4 linked regions of the Macaca fascicularis genome follow. The protein of the gene in region 4 interacts with the protein of the main gene of each other region in a biochemical or structural test. Links are inferred from orthologs where the notes say so. Each region holds a gene or a part of one and is shown on either strand. Other genes may lie near its edges.

Region 1 (4,786 bases), on a different chromosome or scaffold from region 4:
AGCAGCTGCCCAAGATAAGCCTTGCATTTCACAAGATGATGCTTCATTCTCTAGGGTCATGCATTATAATTGATCTATGCCAGGCTGGGCGGGGTGGCTCACGCCGTAATCCCAGCACTTAGGGAGGCTGAGGTGGGTGGATCACTTGAGGCCAGGAGTTCAAGACCAGCCTGGCCAACATGGCCAAACCCGTCTCTACTAAAAATACAAAAATTAGCCAGGCATGGTGGCAGGTGCCTGTAATCCCAGCTACTTGGATGGCTGAGGCACAAGAATCGCTTGAACCTGGGAGGCAGAGATTGCAGTAAGCCGAGATTGCGCCACTGAACTCTAGCATGTGAAACCCAGTCTCAAAGAAAAGGCCAGGCGTGGTGTCTCACATCTGTAATCCTGGCACTTTGGAAGGCCAAGATGGGCAGATCACTTGAGTCAGGTGTTCGAGACCAGCCTGGCCAACATGGTGAAACTCCATCTCTACTAAAAATACAAAAAATTAACCAAGTGTGGTGGCATGCTCCTGTAATCCCAGCTACTTGGGAGGCTGAGACACAAGAATCCCTTGAACCCAGTAGGCAGAGGTTGCAGTGAGCTGAGATCGCACCATTGCACTCCAGCCTGGGCAACAGAGCAAGACTCTGTCTCCAAACAAACAAAAGACATGCCAAATGACATGGCAGGTATTGGGTTCTCCCCCACTGGTGATGGCCATGCTGTTTCTGTACAGCCTGAAGGTGAACCCAACCAGTAAGTACACTTGTAGAAATGAGGGGTATAGAGTGTCCTTTCTGCACCTGGGCACTTCACTTTGTCAGCAAAAAAAGCTAACAAACTTTACTATATTTGTGCTTCTTGACAGATAAAATGGGAATTACTAAGCTGTAATCAGGCCTAAAGTGGCCTGACTTAATACAGAGACTTTCTCACTTCTCCATCACAATTATTTGGGTAGCTTCGGCATGCAGCATTGTAAGTGAATACTCATATCTCATCAGCCTATGTAAAGCTTGAAGTTCTCGCAGTTGGAGAAAAAGAAAAAAAAAAAACCTTGAGGAAGTGGCAATAACTAAACCTCACTTGTCATGGAAAAATGACTCCAGTTGCCTAGGTGGTAGTAACCTTGAAATGCTGCTTATTCAATTTTAAGCACTGACCTGCCAAGTAACTAGTAATTCCCAACTCCCTAGAAGAGGTTCTCTTTTTCCCTAATCATAATCCCCACATGCTAAAACCAAATTCATCTAAGCCATCTATTTTATGCAGGATACATGTAAATCTTAGAGGATTATCCCAGCACTGAGCAGATGACAGATCAAACAGATCTCTCTTCATAGTTCTCTGGATGAAAAAAACAATGTTTATAAATAATCTGTATTGTTCACATTGCCAGGTTCAATTTTCTGGATCATTGTTACTCTTCTATTTTTTGCATAGTTGTAACAGAGTATTCTTTAAATATTTTTTTATGACATGCCTATTACGTACAAAACGCCACAAAGCTTATGTAGGTAAGTGATACATAGGCCCTACCTCAAGGAGCTTATAGTCTGAATAGGGGAGAGGTATGGTGAAGGATGGACAAATTATATGTATTTGTAAGAGTATATAATTTATGGTAAAACAATTTCCTCAAGAAAGGATTAAACCGTGTGTTATAATGTTTCAAAGAAGGGAGAGATTATAAACCACTGGGGTAAAAGGATAGGCTTCTTGGAGAAAGTGTCATTTGAGATATATCTTGGATGACAGATCAGATTCCCATAGAAGAGGCCTGAGAAAAGGGCATTCCATGTAGAAGGAATGACAAGAGCAAAGACATAGAGAGTTAATTAGAAAATGCTTGTCATTTATTTCATAATTTGGGGGAAATTATTTTGTTTTATAACACTTTTAAAAAATATTTAGCTTTGCAGTTCCTGATCCCTTAATGCCTGACCCTTCCAAGCAACCAAAGAACCAGCTTAATCCTATTGGTTCATTACAGGTAAGTTGTACAGTTCTTTGCCTACTGATGAAATATATAATAAGTTTGTAATATCAGAGGGGCTAACACAAGGAATTAATATTTTAAAGACAAGATAGTGATATATTTTGTTTGCCAACTTACGATCATTAGATTTATAGAGCTAACTTGAAATTATTCCATATACAGTATTTGCCTTTGGCTTATACAATTCTCATTTAAGATCAATAGGCCCTCAGTGCACATGGGTAGAGTGTTTTATACTTTAAGAATAGTTCTTGCTACTCTTGTGACAAATCTCTTTCTACTTCTGTTGAGACAGAAGACTTTATAAAGAGCCTAAATCAAATCAGTGAACCTAACTCAAGAAAAGGAGTCTGCTTATTTGCTTATTCTACCGAAAAAAGAAAAATTTATATCTACACACACTCACATATGCACACATATTCAGCTTTGAATTTCTATATGCAGAATATCCTTGCAGACTATTCATGTGCTCTGTTAGGCCATTCCCCTCCCCATTATTCAGCCAGTCCTTTGGTCTCTTTTTCCAGCACTATGAGCTTTTCTATAGTTTTCTTCACCTTCTGTCCCCCACCTCATCCAAGTCTGTTGTTTGCTGTCCCTACTCATGTGTTCTTGGCCAGCTGTGGGTTTGGAAGTCTATAGCTAGGAGGGGAGGGACTTTAGGAACTGATGGCAGTGAAACCTGTAGATGGTCTCCTCTGGTGTTCCCAAAGAGGGCGGTAGTAGCCTGTTTTTCTAGTTGAAGTCTCATACCAGCTCACTATGGTTTAATTCAAGAACACCATTCATAGCAGAAAACTGATTCAGTTTTGGTATTGGGATATAAAGATACAAAATGCAGGAATGTCTCTGAGAAATAGAGGGTCTTCCCTCTTTTTTCCGTTGCAGAAAATCACTATTCTTTTCAAACATATACATAGAAATGGGATCAAAATTAAGAAAATACTTATGTGATTGAGCCATTGCATAAAATTACTATTAAAGCCTCATCTTGATTTTATAGGAATTGGCTATTCATCATGGCTGGAGACTTCCTGAATATACCCTTTCCCAGGAGGGAGGACCTGCTCATAAGAGAGAATATACCACAATTTGCAGGCTAGAGTCATTTATGGAAACTGGTACTTATTTCTTACAATTAAAGGCATTTGAAATATTTTCAGATGATGAATGACTATAGAAATTTCTGTCATAATGTTTTCCAGTATTTCTATGCAGAAAAGTTGATACACTCCTCTTTTATAGTCTCTGACTTTCTGAGGCTGAACTTAAGTATAAATATTTGGCTTAAGATACTTAGTCTTAATTTGATATTTTTAAAAATCAGAGATTATTAATAGAAACTATTGGCTTGTACTTTAAACAGTCCTCATTGATAAATTAGTGACTTTAAAAAAACTCATTTTGGAGACAAAGCTATAGCAAATCTCTTGGATTTTATTTAAGAGCTATTCTATCTAGAAAATAGGACTAGAGGAAGATTACCCTTGAAAACGATATGATTAATAAGAGACTAGATGGCAAATAATTGCAGTGAGATAAAAATGAAAATTATCTTTCTTAATTGTAGCAACTCCTATGTTATAAAGGATATAAACTGTAAGAAACACTGTCACTTTAGAAAGTACTAGTGAGAATTCCTGTTAACTTTTCTGGCATGTTTTTGTCATTTTTTAAAGTGGCTTAAAATGGGATTTTACCTTAACTAGATAATAGTTTCAAGTAATAAGAAACTGTGTGCCTTTGGGAGGTAGTGTGGGCTCTTACAGAAAGCACCAGGTCAAAAGCAAGAACCTCAACTTCCATTTTTGATGCAGTCCTTGATTTGCAAAGTTAAGCAAATTAATCTCTCTGGACCTCAGTTTTTTAATCTATAAAACAAAAACATGGAGATAGATATTTGTGGTATCTTTCAACTCCAGCATCCCCTGTGCCTTTCTTATTCCTGTTTAAAGGAATTCCATATAATTGTCAGTTTAGAGAAGATCACAAGCAGGAAATAGACATTGAGAGAGAGGAGTTATAATTCAGATGTATTTTAATAAATATGAATAATTGGTCAGAATTAAATGTGGTTCAGTAATGCTAGACATAGGAAAATACAATTATTATAGAAAAACAGAAAGCATAACTATTAAAAACTTAAAACAAATGCCTTCAAAAGTGTAAGAATTAGTAACTATACAGGCCAGGCACAGTGGCTCACCTATAATCCCAGCCCTTTGGGAGGCTGAGGTGGGCCGATCGTCTGAGGTCAGGAGTTCGAGACCAGCCTGGCCAACATGGCAGAACCCTGTCTGTGCTAAATATAAAAAATTAGCCAGGTGTGGTGGCAGGCACCTGTAATCCCAGCTACTTGGAGGGGCTGAAGCAGGAGAATTGCTTGAACCCAGGAGGCGGAGGTTGCAGTGAGCCAAGATTGCACCACTGCACTTCAGCCTGGGCGACAGAGCAAGACTCCATCTCAAAAAAAAAAAAAAAAGAATTAATAGCTATACAAAAGAAATAACACAACAAACAAAGATACCAGGTCAGTAAGAACATAGTCTAGCATATAATAAAAACCATGAGGTTCTCTGATTAAATACAATACTTTATACAGTTTGATCATCCTCTGTGGACACTAATTTCTTTTCTAAATCTACCATTTCTTTTTCTTTGTTCAGGAAAGGGGGCATCAAAAAAGCAAGCCAAAAGGAATGCTGCTGAGAAATTTCTTGCCAAATTTAGTAATATTTCTCCAGAGAACCACATTTCTTTAGTGAGTAATGTTGACAGCTATGATGTTAATGTCATTAA
Region 2 (5,285 bases), on a different chromosome or scaffold from region 4:
TGCACTCAGACTGCTGAGGGGAGACAGGGGGCTGCAGTTCCATGGGGGGGCTCCTGAAGGAAAAAGGGCACAGGGCCAAAGTTGAGGTGAAGGGTTCCATCTGAGCCTGCCCATGAGCTCCAAGCCTAACCACTACTTTAGATTCCTGACTACCATCTCCTGATTCCCACCGGGCAGGCAGCTGTCTGTTCACACATCGAGCCTGCTCCCTCCTGCTCTAGCCGGCTTCCTTCCCCCTCCCACTCAAGGGAGGCCTTCTCCAGGCCCCAGCCCATTTCCAATCTGGAACACTTGTGTATCATCCAAGCCAGGACAGTGGGAGAAGAGCTGTATTTCCAGTCCCAGAAGTGCCTGATGGGCCTCAAACACAGAACTGACATGTGGTCAACCCAGAAGAAAATGGGGCCTGCGAGACCCTTAAATATGGTCGAACATCATCCATAAGGCTATCTGAAAATCACAAATGACCTTCTGTCCCAAGAGCTTACCCCAGCTGCTGTGATTTCTTCAAGTTCTGGTTCCCAACTATTCCATTCTGTTTATTCTCAGACTTCCTCATGCCTGACCAGCCTGGGTCCAAAGACTGAGGAGCCAAAAACCAGAACCCCTTCCTCCACCCACCTCAGGCAGTCAGGGAACACAGATACCTGGTTAGGACAACAGATGGAACTGGGGTAGCAGCTGCTGCAGCAGTAAAAATCGGAATGTCCTCAGGCAGTGAAGAGTCTAGGGGAGAAAAAGAACTTCCCGAGGGGAAGGGGGCCTTTGATTCACACCCATGTATAGGGGGAAGAGAGGGGTGGGGGACCCACGTCCTCCTGACCTCCCGATCCCCTAAGAGAACTTCCAAATTGAGCCAAAGAATCAGGGAGGCTCAACCAACAGCTTCCTCCTGGGATCCTTTGCCGCCAAACACCGGCAAAAAGACAGAAAAGAGGGTCTCTTTGTACCAAAGAACCAGAGGAGCAACAAACTCCAACCTGCGCGTGAAGGAAGGACATCTTGCTAGAACAAGGAGGTATGTTGGGGAGCAACTCCCTTTAGCCTCAGCCTCCACCCCTCTCCCTCCCTAACCCAGGTCCCAATCTACTGCCACAACCCCTCTATGGGGCTAACCAACCCCTCCACCCCAAGAATTCTTCATAGCAGCAAACGCCCTGGAAGACCCTGTTCAGGTCCAGAGGGACTCTCAGGAAGAGGCCAGGTCAGGGTGGCTAAGTGTCACCTGGCCAGGCCTGGTGGCAGAGGGGGTGGTGCAGGGCCTGGGTTCCTTGAAGGGCTTCTGGGATGCCTCGGTTCCTCCCTCACCTGCTGTCCTCCAAGGCCGGCTCCAGCATGCTCCCCCCTTTGAGGTGTTTGAGGGCCACCTCAGCTGCCTTGTGCTTGGCTGCCTTCTTGCTGGGGCCCTGACCTGAGAGAGGGGGCATGGGCAATACTGGAGGTCACTGGAAGGATGGGAGAGAAACCAGCATCCCACAGCCTCTCTCCTCAGAGCCAGTGGGAATCCATCAAGCCCCTTCTGACCAACCACCCCCTGCTGAAGACTGGAAGTGTTTCACTAATTGCTAGAAGGAAGAGCCCTTATCTTTCCATTAGCTTCCAGACCAGAATTAAGCCATGCCAAGCAGGACTTCTGAGCTCAAACGCCTTGGGTGGACTTCTGAACTCAAATGCTTTAATTTCCTTTGCAAAGCACTTTCTTTTCCCTCAATAAAAACAGAGAGCTGGAATAAGAGAGGGTAGGCTCTGGAGTAAAAGCCCCACTCCGCCACACACTAGGCATGTGACCATGCACCAGCCATTTACTATCTCAAATACTCAGTTTCCTCATATTCAACATGGGCGGGCGGGGGGAGGAGTGGGGGGGGGATACTGCCACCTACATCACTGGTTAGACTGAGGTTTAAAATTAAATGGGAATTTGGTTAAGCACCGGGAACAGAGCCCAGCATGCCAGGCACTCACTCCCCCAAATACTCCACTGGGATTTCAGTTATCTTCTCTTCCTTTTCCTCTAGGGTGATGTGGCAGTCCTGATCGATCCTCTAACTCTCCCACGTCCTACCCACCTTCTCACAGCCCTGTTCTCCCAATCCAGTCAGTAGCTTTTCCCCTGAAATCTCTCCTTCCCTCACTGGCCTTGAAGAAAAGGACTGTGAAGAAAGAGACTCCAAGAAACAAAGTCATGGGGACCTGCAAATGCACACCCCAGCCAGGCTGCCCAAGCCTTCCTCACCAGTGCAGCTGGTGTCGCCAACGGTGACCCGGAAGGTGAAATTAGGCTGGTGGGCTTGGCCCTCGGCTTTGAGAAGGTCGTACACAGGCGTCTTCCCTATTCTGGTCCCATACTCCTGCAGAAGGCTGATCGGGGTCTTGCCTGGGTTGGCGGCCAGCATTTGCTCTATACTGGGGGAAGGGGCACAGACCCATATCACACCTCCCCTCTCTGCACCCACCTGGCCAAGCACTTCCATACCAGACCTAGGCACATTATGGGGGACATAGGGTCCAAGGAACCCCAGGCAGTCTAGCATCCATTGGCTGGGTTCCAAGTGTAGGTGCAGGCTGGAAGAGTAGGGCCCACTACCTCAAAGCAAGGGGGGAAGAATGCACTGCTCCTGCCTCAGTTAAGGTGGGCACGATCCTGTGCCCCATGCAGGTTGAAAGTGCATACCCCCTGACACAGTGCAAGCCAGGAACCCAGTACCCACCAAATGCACTGAATGTGGGGGCATAAAGCCCAGTGTTCCAGTGCAGTCTGGGAACCGGGCCAACCCCAAACTATTTAGAGCTGAAGGCAGCAGCCACTGCCCCGGTGCACGCCGGGAACCACTGCCCACTGCCCCAGTGCTTGCCGGGAACAACCCTCAGGCCAGGTGCATGCTGGGGCCGCGCCGCTACTCCCTCCGCACGGCCCCACGCTTTTTGCCCAGAAGGAATCGGTACGAGGCGGCTCACCTAGGCAGCCCGCAGCCCGTGGTAATGCCGGAGCCTTGCTCCTCTTCACTCATTCCCTCCTCCGTCCCCGCGGGCGCCACCGTGAGTGCAGCCTCCACGCGCCCCAATACACCGCCGACGAGCTAGGGCCGGGGCCAAGCCCGGAGTCGCGGCCGGTAGGGCCCGCCGAGGGGCACGCTGGGATATGGAGTCCCCCGCCCACCCTACTTCATGAGCCTCCATCTGGAGGGGAGCTATCCGCCCCACAACCCTCCGCGTGGCTCGCCCGGGCCGGCTGCACCGCCTTCTGGGAGGAGCGGGCTCTCCGCAGTCGCTTCTCGAGAAGGCTGTATTTTTTTGTTTGTAATACCGTCCCGCCTCCTTCCTTCCGCGCCCCCTCTCTCCCGGGCCGTGAGGCTGTGGACATGCGTACTAGCGGAGGGGAAGCCGCTGGGTAGCGGGGCGGTAAGGACTCACTTGGGCACGGAGCCTTTTGGATCCCGAGAAAACTACAGAACCCAGGAGCCCGCGCGCCATCTTTGCCGCAGCTGGAGGGGCAGGGTCAAGCACGCACGAGAAGCTTCATGTTGTCATTGGTTACTCCCATTGCGTTTACTTCCTCTAGGCACATTGGAATTGGTTACTTCGACCAAAGGGGCGGGGACAAGGAAAAATCAGCCCCCTGACCCCGCCTCCTTGGTGAAGGAAGGTTGTGATTGGTCCGGAGAGGTTGCTGTCGGATCCGGGCTCTTTGAGGTCTGAGAGGGTGGGCTTTACCTAGACGCCGGAGGGGACCGATGTCTGTCTACGCAGGGCTCTGGAGCTGGTGCAGATCCAAGTCAGTCTCAGACAGTCCCCTCAACCCACAGCCTAAGCCCCTGGCCCTTGGGCCTCCGTGACACAGAACTTGCTTCCTCTTCCTAGGTTGTCCTTCACCTCCTTCAGGTTTTGCTTCTTTTGTAAAACCTTTTTAGAACGGCTCTAGTGAACCTCTCTAACTGGCAAGGAAATCTCTGGGGCCTGATAATCAGGCTGTGGTGTGGGGCGACAGGATTAGAAGGACTAGGCACCTGGTGGTCTCGTTCCCTCTGCCATGAGTCTTGGGTCTCTCAGCTGAAGAAAGCAAGAGTGAATTTTGGCCGCCTAAGACTAATCAACTGATCTGGGTGTTGAGCAGACGCAAATTTTTTAGTCCTAGAGCCCCATTGCCTCCTCCCCCAAAGTCGCACAACCACTGGGCTAAGGGAAATCTTGTGACCTTGGAGAAAGGGAGATATCACATTTTTAAAAAATAAATAAATAAATAAAGGTTCTAATGAGTGTTCTGAGAAGGGGTCAAGAAAGAGATGTCTTACTCTGAGGCGGGGCTGGAGGTCCAGAGGAATCTTTAAATGATAATGAGGGGTCATCCAGGAACACTGGAGGAGGATGGGGCCTAGAGTCGAGTGAATTCCAAGTGGGTGAAATTAGAGTGAGCGGTGACAATCAAGGGAAGGAGAGCTGGCAAGATCAGTATGATAGGGGGAGCAATGCCAGAGCGCTAGGGATCCCAACTGAGGGGCTGCTCTCTCCGATGTAGAAAGGAGTCTATAAGACGAGTCATAGGGGGTTCCTGTGGAATCAGCCTAAGGCCTGAGGTGGGACCTCCATAGGACACCGCCAGCAGGGAAGCGCGGGGCCCAGGCGGGCCAGGGACGAGAGTGGAGCGCGCCGGATGGCAGCAGCGGGCTCCTTTAAGAGGCCGGCGGCTCCATCGCAGCATCCCCCGCTCAGGGCGTGTCCGTCCCGGGGGGCCAGGGGCGGGGGCCCTGGAAGGAGCGGGAGTTCAAGCCGAGCAGGGACGGGGCTAGGGGTCGGGGGGTGGGGGCAGCAAGCTGAAGCTGACACCCGTGCATCCGGACACCGCACGAGCATCGCCTGTGACAGCGCCCCGGGTCCGGTGGAGGGCAGCGGGGGGAGGAGGGAAGGAGGAGGAGAAGGAGGAGGAGGCGGGAGCAGCATCCGGAGCGGAGCTGCAGCAGCGCCGCCTTTTGTGCTGCGGCCGCGGAGCCCCCGAGGTGAGAGCCTGGCCGAGTTGTGGGGGGGTGGGGGGCAGGGATGGGTCCGGGTCCTGGGATCCGGGCGTGGAGGGAGGGTCGGGATGCAGATGTGGCCTGGTGCGGGTGGTGGTGTGGGGATGCTGAAGCTGTGGGGATGGAGGAACTGGGGACCTGGACCCGACGCGTGTGGGGCTGGGAAGGAAGGGAATGGAGCGGAGAGATGCCGCGGCCCAGCTTGGAGACGAAGGGCCTCCAGAGCTGGAAAGGACCGTATTGGGGTGGGGTGGAGGGTGATTGGGGGACAGACTT
Region 3 (5,297 bases), on a different chromosome or scaffold from region 4:
AGAAAGTGGAAAACCAACATCTACTTCAATATTAACAGCTTGCATATTAAGATGATAAACGAAGAGAGGAAAGACCTTTTTTTTGTAATCTATTTGCAAAGGCAAGTGTCTGTTACTCTGACAGCAGGCTGCCCTGACAATTTTTTTTAAACCATATGTCAAACGTTTCTTTTATTAACCTAAAAACATTTGACTCACATTAAAATGCCAATCAGGTACATTTCCTCTACAGTGAATCAATTCTTTGCACAAGCTTTACTTCATAAAATATACTCAATTTTGACATTAAGATATTAAATTCTGGTATATGTTAAATCAAGTGCTAACATCTGTATGTACATATTTATAAGTTCCTTTGCAAAGGCTGATAATGAAGCTAAAAAACATTCTAAATTATCATTCCGTTAGGTTTTGTCCGGTCGTACATTTATTCCAACTCGATCATTACCAAGACTTGACCTCCTTTCTGATCTCCTGTGAGTACAAATTAAGCTAGGAGAAGTTTCTGGAGCACTACCCTCTGTGCATATGTGGAACAAGTAATTTGGTTCAGATGAAACAGAATTATGTGGAGTCCTCGGCAGGTGGGTTGAGAACTACGCAGGTAGGACCCACTACTGACCGGTCACCACGTCATCCCAAACCCTTTCAACCCAAGACTCTACCTGATGGGAGCCCGCAAGACACTTACCAGAGCCACAGACAACAAAAATGAAGAGAGCCAATAACCAGGGTCCTACAGACGCCTTCTCTTCGGGGGCATTTCTCTGCAAAAGCGAAAATCCACCATTTCAGATGCAGACAAACCACTCGGACCCCAGGCTCCCACAGCCCCGGTGGCCGGTCCCCTCACCCACAGGTCTCCCCTTCGGTTCCCGAGCCCCTACAGTCTGGCGGCTCGCAGACTCGGGCCCCTACCCCTCCACAGCACAGCCCACAGTCGGCCGGATCCGGGAGAAAACGCGACGCGGCCCCAGGGACCCCGACTGTGCCCCGGCTGCGGAACGCAGAGGGGCGACCGCTCTTTCCTTACCGAGGTCTTGGCGACGTTGCCGCGCTGGGTGATGTTCTTGCTGTGCTTCTCGTTGGCCATACGGATCCTCTGCTTGGCGACCATCTTCGCGGCGCCACCACCTGCCCCGGCCACCCCTCGGACTCGCTCGCTCGCCTGCCTCCTCTCGAGCCGCTGCGAGGCTCGGCTCGTGGTGCCCGCGCCGCCGGAGCGCCGAGGTTCTCAGGCCAGGCGCTGGCTACGGCCGCTGGGCCTGGGCGCGGCAAGCGCGGGGACTGAGCACAAGCCGGGCGCCGGTCGCCGACTGACTGGCCAAGCCTGGCGGGTGCACGGGAGGAAGATAACTGGCCGCCGGGTCGTTCTCGCACCGCAGTCGCCGCCGCTTTGGCCGCCGCCGGGAGCGCGGAGTGAAAGAGGAAGGAAACGCAACGCAACAACGGGAATGTGCAGCCCGCCGCCTCGATCTACTTTGGGTTCGGCTGCCAACGTCAGCACTAGGTGGGCTCCGCCCCGCGGAAGTGCGCGCCCCTCCTGCTAGAGAAGGAGGGCGAAAGCAGACGCACCCACCCCAGTCCAGCCCTCCCAAGCTCGGTCAAGCGTCGCCCCAGATCTGTGCTTGCGCGTTCGGGCGCCTCTTCCGCGTCACTCCGCAACCGGAAGTGAATTGGCCCCGAGGCTGATGGCTCCGGAAACACCAGCTCGCTGTTTCCACGCAGGAGGAGACGTGTAGGGGCCGGGTTCGGCCCTCGTGAACTCTCACCCGAGCGGTTTCTTTTTCCGGGACAACATGGCGCCGTCCACGCCGCTCTTGACAGGTGAGTTCTGAAGAAGCAAGGGACTCTCTTTCTTCAGACTAGTTTCTTATTTTTGTCTTTGTCTTTGAGAACTACCCGAGGAGCCCGAAAAGTCTGATCTGCCTTTTCTTGTGGCTTGCGGAAAGGCCAGACTATCTCTTGGCTTTCTTGATATAGCGTGGCAGTCGGAAGTGAAGTCTCCGCCTCTGGGCTTTCGTATTCCCCCTCCCTTTCACTGATCCATCATTCTTGCCTGCGGATTCATCTTCTACAGGAATAGAAGAAGGGGGAGAAAAACAGAATGTGCTAGTTGAATTTGTGACACTTGGGTCTGCAATACTGGTGTTACACGGGCCCTTGTGAAGTCATTTAGCTCTACAGTAAGGACAAAGACAAACAGAGTTAGTCCACTAGAATGACCACGCACATTAAATACACCTGGACTTAAGTAATTCCAAATTCTGGCCTGCCTTCCTTAATGGGGTTTGTAGTACTGAATAGGGAGAGTGGAGCTGTAATGCAGATTTCAAATGATGAAGGTGGGGTTGGAAGAGGATATAGCAGTGAGCATGATAGAGATATTCTAGCAACATTTTATTTTGAAATGGTTATGAGCATATTAAAAGTAGAACATTAGAGGACTTTTGAAATTTTGAAGCTGAAGACAGAGTGTGTAGTGTTGAAGAAGATAATAAACTTAGATTGGACAATGCTGGGGAAGTTGCTTTACTAGGTTGTGGCTAGGAGTATTTGCATGTGAGTATTATGTAAGGGAAAGAATTGGGAAGGAAAAGAAGGCTTTGGTTAAGTTCTGGTAACTATACAGAAGGAAAAAAGTCATTAAGAGAAACGTCTGCATTTGAGGAGGAAGGCCATTTCCTCCCTTTTCCCCCATCCCCTGAAAGGAACCTTAAGGGCCGGGCGCAGTGGCTCACGCCTGTAATCCCAGCACTTTGGGAGGCGGAGGTGGGCAGATCACGAGGTCAGGAGATCGAGACCACCCTCGCTAACATGGTGAAACTCCGTCTCTACTAAAAATACAAAAAAATTTAGCCGGACGTGGTGGCGGGCGCTTGTAATCCCAGCTACTTGGGAGGCTGAGGCAGGAGAATTGCTTGAACCCGGGAGGCGGAGGTTGCAATGAGCCAAGATCGCGCCACTGCATTCCAGCCTGGGCGACAGAGCGAGACTGTCTCAAAAAAAGAAAGAAAGAAAGAAACCTTAAAACATTTTTGCACTTTTTGCCAGTCTACGTTTCTATTTCTACATTTTAAAATCTTTATTATTAAGCACCATGCCCACTGATAGTCTGTCTTCTACAGTTTAGTCATCATTTATCAAACGCTGGCTATAATGTGCTAGGTAATATGCTAGGCAGAGACTGTTGGGCAAAGTTACATAATAAATTTTTTTTAGGTTCGTAAAGGTAGCTTGTTATTCACAATTTTTAATACTAAATTCTTATTTGAACTCTAATGAAAACAATACGACATTTAAAAATCTGATAAATAACCTCTCCTTTAAAAATGCCTACAGTAGTTAGTTCCTCACTGCTTACAGGGTAAATTCCATCCCACGTAGCATAGGGTATGTAACCATTTATAATCCTTGAATTGCTCTTGAGACTCATTTATTTCCTTGCTATCCCATCCTATTTTGTACTCCATCAATACTGAACTGCTTGTGAGTACCTTTGAACAACCTGTTTCTTCAGTCTAGTACTATCCTATGCCTCTAGTTGATTTGGCAAACTCTTTATCATCTGTTGAAATTAAAATTCATTTTAGATATCATTGCTCTGTGAAGCCTTTCCTCACGCTACCCAGATAGAGTCAGTCACTTCCTGGGCTATTTTTGTACCTTAAGTATATTTGAAATTTTGTTTCACTTACTAAGTAGGATAATTAGACATTCACTTGCCTTTCTCCCCTGCTAGACTGTGAGTCCTTCAATGTCAGGGACAGGGTCTTATTCATATCTGTCTTCTCAGTACTAGTGCAGTGCCTGGTAGACAATAGATACTTTAAATCAGGGGTCCCCAACCCCCCGGGGCCAGATTGGTACCGGGCGAACATTACCACTTGAGCTCCCCCTCCTGTCGGATCAGTGGGGGCATTAGAGCCTCATAAGAGCGCAAACCGTATTGTGAACTGTGCATACAAGAGATCTAGGTTAGATTTATCTGTTTAGACTATCCTTCTAAATGAAGGATAGCCACTTTATAGTAAATTAACCAAGGATGACAATTGTCTTACAGTGTTTAAAATGAGGGAATTTGTAAGAGCTTAAATGTTGTCTGTTCAGTGTACTCTTCGTATTCTCATATTCTTAGAGGCCCAGAGAGATTAAGTGGTCAGATTCATGCTGCAGATTGGCAGGATTAGGATCATACTTATTCAGATTGCTCAACTCTGTGGTCCATTTTTCTTTCACAAGAACAAACTGTTTAATCTTTTAAGCATTTTCAATGTACATATTTCATTCAACAGTAGATTATTTTACTTCCAAGATCTTTTGTTAAATTTAGACTCATGGGATTTTAGAGCTATGAATAGCTTGCAGATTAGCCAGTAAATTTTGTTAACCCCAACTCTTAATTGGGAATGACAAGCCAAAGCAGGTGAAAAAGGAATTTTTTTTTAAACTCATATAACCTAAAAGCCTCACTGCTGCTAGATCCAGATACTCACATGCTTCAGAAATCTGTTTTTCTTTCTTTCTTTCTTTCTTTTCTTTTCTTTTCTTTTGTTTTCTTTTCTTTTCTTTTCTTTTCTTTTCTTTTCTTTTCTTTTTTTTTTTTGAGACAGAGTTTCACTTTTGTTGCCCAGGCTGGAGTGCAATGGCGTGATCTTGGCTCACTGCAACCTCCACCTCCCAAGTTCAAGCGATTCTTGTGCCTCAGCCTCCCGAGTAGCTGGGATTACAGGCATGCACCACAACACCCAGCTAATTTTGTATTTTTGGTAGAGATGGGGTTTCACTGTGTTGGTCAGGTTGGTCTTGAACCCCTGCCCTCAGGTAATCCACCGGCCTCTGCCTCCCAAAGTGCTGGGATTACAGGCGTGAGCTACCACGCCCGTCCAGAAATCTGTTTTTCTTCATCTCTAGGCTCTTGCTTTCCTCCAGATTAAATTCATCTTTAAACTGACATTCAACCAAACACCCAGCTCCAAAGGAAAGAACACATTTTTGCCAGTAGTCTCAGCGAAAATCTCAAGGCTAACTGCCTTTGACTTTGCTTGGCTCATCTTTGTATCAGTCAACTTTTAATCATGTAGTCAGGACTAAATTATATTCTCACTCCTGGATACTCCTCAAAAGAAAATGAGAGCCTCCTAAAGAAGAGGAGCTGGGTGCTAGGCACATAAAACAGCAATGTCCATTATATGAAATTCACATTGTCTAATCTGCTTGACCAGTTGAAATCACAGAGATAATTTGTTCAAAATTGAGTCATTTTCCTAAACTAATACATAGTTCAGTGAATGTAA
Region 4 (4,786 bases):
GTGACCAGTATAGTAGGTTTTATGGCACTCATTTGTAGTACAAAGCTGGACTCCAACTGAACATCGATCCATCATTCTTGATTCTGACATATTTTCCTTGTTTTATTTTGTCCAGAGATCTAGGTCACGGGCTGATCACCCTTAGTTTGAGCTCTCCTCCACCCGGCTTCGGGCAGGATCTGCGTCCACACAGGCTACACTCGCCCACCCGTTTCCCAGCCTGTCCCCGTGCTACCACTCCACTTTACTTATTACATATACTCTAAACTTTTTTCTTCTAAACATAAAACATTCTACACTCCTGCAGCCTTTTTACTTCTTTAAGCAGGTAGACAAACATGTAGTTGATACTAAGTGGAAGCACAGGGCAGAGTTAAAGAGAAGGACCCCCTTTCACTGACCAGCTGAGTTTTTTTTTCTTTCCTTTATTTTTTAAAACAATTCTGAAATTGACACGGGGTTTTGCCGTGTTGCCCAGGCTGGTGTTGAACTCCTGAGCTCAGGTGATCCGCCCGCCTTGGCCTCCCAAAATGCTGGGATTTTATAGGTGTGAGCCACCACCCCTGGCCAAGTTGAGTTTTCAAAGTAGAAAATTTGGAGAAATTAACTTTATTGTGCAGTGAGTGAGAAAGAAAGAACAGTTTTGAAAGAAAGTCTCTGCATTTATGTGGGACTGAGATGAGTCCTATAAAGGAGAGTCTCCCCAACCCCTCTGTCTCCTAAACTGCACTGGGAAACTCAGGTTAAATATGTTCTGTTAGCATCACTCATTCAAATGTCTCTTCCATTGTAGGATACTGGAAGAAATGGCTGGTCATCTTGTACCAGGTTTCTACATGGAGGAACTTAATAAATACCGTCAGAAGCAGGGAATATCATTGAGCTATCAAGAACTGCCTAATACAGGACCTCCACATGATAGGAGGTAAGTTGCTATAAACAATGATATGATCTTATAAATGTAAACTGGGGGAATGGCAACTCTGGCACAACTTTGAGGTCAACACTTTTGTTTTGTGAGAGTCCGCTTGGCGTAAAGCGGTAACCACTTTGGAGCCACAGATGATTCCAGAGAGAAGAGAGGGTAGAAACCTTTCCACACTTCAACAAGACATGCTGTTTTACTGCTTGGGGTGACTGCTTCCATTCTATGTTGAATGTACGTTCAAACCCTCAAAGGTAGTCATAGGAGGTAGTGGTAACTAGAGCACTTGTTTTTAGATAGTGCATGAGTTGTATAATATTTTATGAATATTCTTTTTGTAATCAGGTTTACATTTCAAGTTGTAACAGATAGAAGAACATTTCCAGAAGCTGAAGGTAGATCAAAGAAGGAAGCAAAAAATGCTGCAGCCAAATTAGCTGTTGATATACTTAATAAGGAAAGCGAGGTGAGTGATTGCCTTTTTTTCCTAGTAAATGGGAACTTGCAAATGCATTTTCTATTTCTCTCTGTGAGAAAATACTTCCATACAGAGTAAAGCCATTCACACGTTACCTTACATTCAAGAGTTTGGTTCAGTCATTCCCCCCATCTTCATTTCTATGAAACCCTGAGTGAGAGCTGCACACCCAGGACGCCGTGGGCAAAGCTGGAGAATAGTTATTCAGAGTGTCAGCAGCAGTTAAATACTCTAAAATTGAACAAATATGGAAAGATGAGAAGTGTTCAGTGGGAAATGAGCTGACAGGTTCTGGGATGAGTCCCCTCCATCTAATTGAGGAAGTGCAGTAAAAGAGGAAAAAGAGATGAAAGTGATTATAGGGAGAATGATGTACAGCGGTCACTCACTGTCTGTGGGGAATTGGTACCAGGACTCCCTGTGGATGCCAAAATCCACTGATGCTCAAGTCTTTTATATAAAATGGCATAGTATTTGCATATAACCTATTTGCATCTTCCCATATACAGTTATGCGTTGCTTAACAAGGAGAATACATTGTAAGAAATGCATTCTTAGGCAATTTTCTCATTGGGCAAACAACACAGAAGTACTTACACAATCCTAAATGGAGCAACCACTACGCACCTAGGCTATGTAGTATAGCCTATTACTCCTAGACTACACACCTGTACAGCATGTTATTATACTGAAAACTGTAGCCAATCGTAACACAATTTAGTATTCATGTATCTAAACATATCTAAATATAGAAAAAGTACAGTAAAAATACAGTATAAAAGACAAAAGGCTGGGCGCGGTGGCTCACACCTGTCATCCTAGCATTTTGGGAGGCTGAGGCAGGTGGATCACCTGAGGTCAGGAGTTGAAAACCAGCCTGGCCAACATGGTGAAACCCTATCTCTACTAAAAATACAAAAAATTAGCTGGGCGTGGTGGCGGGCACCTGTAATCCCAGCTACTTGGGAGGCTGAGGCAGGAGAATTGCTTGAACCCGGGAAACAGAGGTTGCAGCGAGCCTGAGGTCGTGCCATTGCACTCCAGCCTGGGGACCCTGTCTCAAAAAGAAAAAAAAAAAGACAAAAGTACACCCATATAGGGCACATACCATGCATAAATAGAGCTTGCAGGACTGGAAGTTGCTCTGAGTGAGTCAGTGAGTGGGTGGTGAGTGAATGTGAAGGCCTAGGGCATTATTGTATACCACTGTAGACTTTATAAACACTGTATACATAAGCTACATTCATTTTATTAAAAATTTTTTTCTTCAATAATAAATTAACCTTAGCTTACGGTAACTCTTTTACTTTATAAACTTCTTATTTTTAACATTTTGACTCTTTCCTAATAACACTTAGCTTAAAACACAAACGCAGCCAGGCGCAGTGGCTCATGCCTGTAATCCCAGCACTTTGGGAAGCCGAGGCGGGTAGATCACCTGAGGTCAGGAGTTTGAGACCAGCCTGGCCAACACGGTGAAACCCTGTCTCTACTAAAAATACAAAAATTAGCCAGGTGTAGTGGGGGTCGCCTGTAATCCCAGCTACTTGGGAGGCTGAAGCAGGAGAATTGCTTGAACTCAGGAGGCGGAGGTTGCAGTGAGCCGAGATCATGCCACTGCATTCCAGCCTGGGCAACAGGGCAAGACTCCATCTCAAAAAAACAAAACAAAACAAAAACGAAAACAAAAACACATAGTATGGCTGTACAAAAATATTTTGTTTTGTTACATCTTTATTCTATAAGCTTTTTTCTATTTTTAGAATTTTAAACTTCTTTTTTTTTTTAACTTTTAAACTTTGTTGTTAAAAAATTAAAACATGATTGGGCACAGTGTTTCATGCCTGGGATGTCGAGGAGCCATGATTATGCCACTGTACTCCAGCCTGGGTGACAGAATGAGACCCTGTCTCAAAAAAAAAAAAAAAAAATGCTGGGCATGGTGGTTCATGCCTGTAATCCCAGCACTTTGGTAGTCAAGGTAGGTGGATCACTTGAATTTGGGAGTTTGGGATTAGCCTAGGCAACATGGTGAAACCCTCTCTGTACTAAAAATACAAAACACTAGCCAGGCTTGGTGGCACGTGCCTGTAGTTCCAGCTACTCAGGAAGCCGAGGCAGGAGGATCATGTGCCTGACATGTCATGGCTGCAGTGAGCTGTGATCTTGTGACTACACTCCAGCCTGGGCAACAGAGCAAGACCCTGTCTCAAAAAAAAAGAAAGAAAAAAATTACAACACACACACACACACCAGCCTGCCTACACAGCATCAGGATCATCAGCGTCACTGTCTTCCACCTCCACATTTTGTCCCTCTGGAAAGTGTTCAGGAGCAAAAACATACATGGAGCTATTCTTTCCTATTGTAGCAATTCCTTCTTTTGGATTACCTACCGAAGGACCTGCCTGAGACTGTTTTACAGTTTACTTTTTTTTTTTTTTTAAGTAGAAAGAGTGCCTTCTAAAATAATGATTAAAAAGTATAATAAATATATAAACCAGTAACAGTTACTTATTATTATCCAGTATTATGTACTGTACATAATTGTATGTGCCAGACTTTTTTATAAGACTGTAGCACAGTAGATTTGTTTAGAGCAGTGTCACTGCAAACATGTGAGTAATGCATGGTGCTGTAACCCAGGAGTTTGAGATTGGCCTGGGCAATATGGCGAAACCCTGTCTGTACTAAAAATACAAAAAATTAGCCATTATAGTGGCTATGACCTCACTAGATGACAGTAATTTTTTAGCTCCATTATAATCTTACGGGACCACTGTCATATATGCAGTCCATTGTTGACCAAAATGTCATTATGCAGTACATGATTATCCTTTAGATCATCTCTAGATTACTTATAATATCTCTAATACAATGTAAATGCTATGTAAATAGTTTTTTGTTGTTGTTGTTTTTTGAGACAGGGTCTTACTATCACCCAGGCTGGAGTGCAGTGGCATGATCAAGGCTCACTGCAGCCTCAGTCTCCCCAGGCTCAGGTGATCCTCCCACCTCAGCATCCCAACTGACTCGGACTACAGGCACGAGCCACCACACCTGGCCAATTTTTGTATTTTTTGTAGAGATGGAATCTCACTATGTTGTCCAGGCTGGTCTTGAACTCCTGAGCTCAAGCGATCCGCCCACCTCAGCCTCCCAAAGTGCTAGGATCGCAGGTGTGAGCCACCACAGCCAGCTATAAGTAGTTGTTATGCTGTATTGTTTAGGGAATAATGACAAGGAAAAAAACTGAATATGTTTAGTACAGATGCAACCAGCAATTTTTTTCAAATATTTTTGATTGTGATTGGTGAATCCAGGGATTTGGAACCCGTGGATATAGAGAGCCAAGTGTTTACAGAGAGCAGATAATGGAGAAC

What was found.
Region 1: the proteins of EIF2AK2 (region 4) and PRKRA form a complex in vitro, tested with the Homo sapiens proteins (3 studies listed by BioGRID and IntAct, with this or other methods). The link is inferred for Macaca fascicularis from reciprocal best matches to the Homo sapiens genes EIF2AK2 and PRKRA.
Region 2: the proteins of EIF2AK2 (region 4) and TARBP2 form a complex in vitro, tested with the Homo sapiens proteins (2 studies listed by BioGRID, with this or other methods). The link is inferred for Macaca fascicularis from reciprocal best matches to the Homo sapiens genes EIF2AK2 and TARBP2.
Region 3: of the proteins of EIF2AK2 (region 4) and EIF2A, one has a biochemical effect on the other in vitro, tested with the Homo sapiens proteins (4 studies listed by BioGRID, with this or other methods). The link is inferred for Macaca fascicularis from reciprocal best matches to the Homo sapiens genes EIF2AK2 and EIF2A.

Annotation. Positions count from the first base shown.
Region 1 is NC_088386.1:74,014,402-74,019,187, reverse strand, and holds part of PRKRA (interferon-inducible double-stranded RNA-dependent protein kinase activator A), read left to right. Parts: intron 1-856; exon of another isoform or gene 857-966; intron 967-1,902; coding exon 1,903-1,981; intron 1,982-2,990; coding exon 2,991-3,108; intron 3,109-4,653; coding exon 4,654-4,748; intron 4,749-4,786. UniProt on the Homo sapiens protein: Activates EIF2AK2/PKR in the absence of double-stranded RNA (dsRNA), leading to phosphorylation of EIF2S1/EFI2-alpha and inhibition of translation and induction of apoptosis.
Region 2 is NC_088385.1:60,310,713-60,315,997, reverse strand, and holds the start of TARBP2 (RISC-loading complex subunit TARBP2), read right to left. Parts: upstream 3,247-5,285; 5' UTR 3,012-3,246; coding exon 2,959-3,011; intron 2,835-2,958; exon of another isoform or gene 2,712-2,834; intron 2,407-2,711; coding exon 2,237-2,406; intron 1,412-2,236; coding exon 1,309-1,411; exon of another isoform or gene 1,226-1,308; intron 744-1,225; coding exon 648-743; intron 54-647; coding exon 1-53. UniProt on the Homo sapiens protein: Required for formation of the RNA induced silencing complex (RISC). Component of the RISC loading complex (RLC), also known as the micro-RNA (miRNA) loading complex (miRLC), which is composed of DICER1, AGO2 and TARBP2.
Region 3 is NC_088376.1:53,386,003-53,391,299, forward strand, and holds the start of EIF2A (eukaryotic translation initiation factor 2A), read left to right. Parts: upstream 1-1,770; 5' UTR 1,771-1,799; coding exon 1,800-1,827; intron 1,828-5,297. Other genes in the region: SERP1 (stress-associated endoplasmic reticulum protein 1), read right to left, coding at 692-767, 1,034-1,117. UniProt on the Homo sapiens protein: Functions in the early steps of protein synthesis of a small number of specific mRNAs. Acts by directing the binding of methionyl-tRNAi to 40S ribosomal subunits.
Region 4 is NC_088387.1:85,033,123-85,037,908, forward strand, and holds part of EIF2AK2 (interferon-induced, double-stranded RNA-activated protein kinase), read left to right. Parts: exon of another isoform or gene 1-75; intron 76-793; 5' UTR 794-806; coding exon 807-925; intron 926-1,270; coding exon 1,271-1,391; intron 1,392-4,786.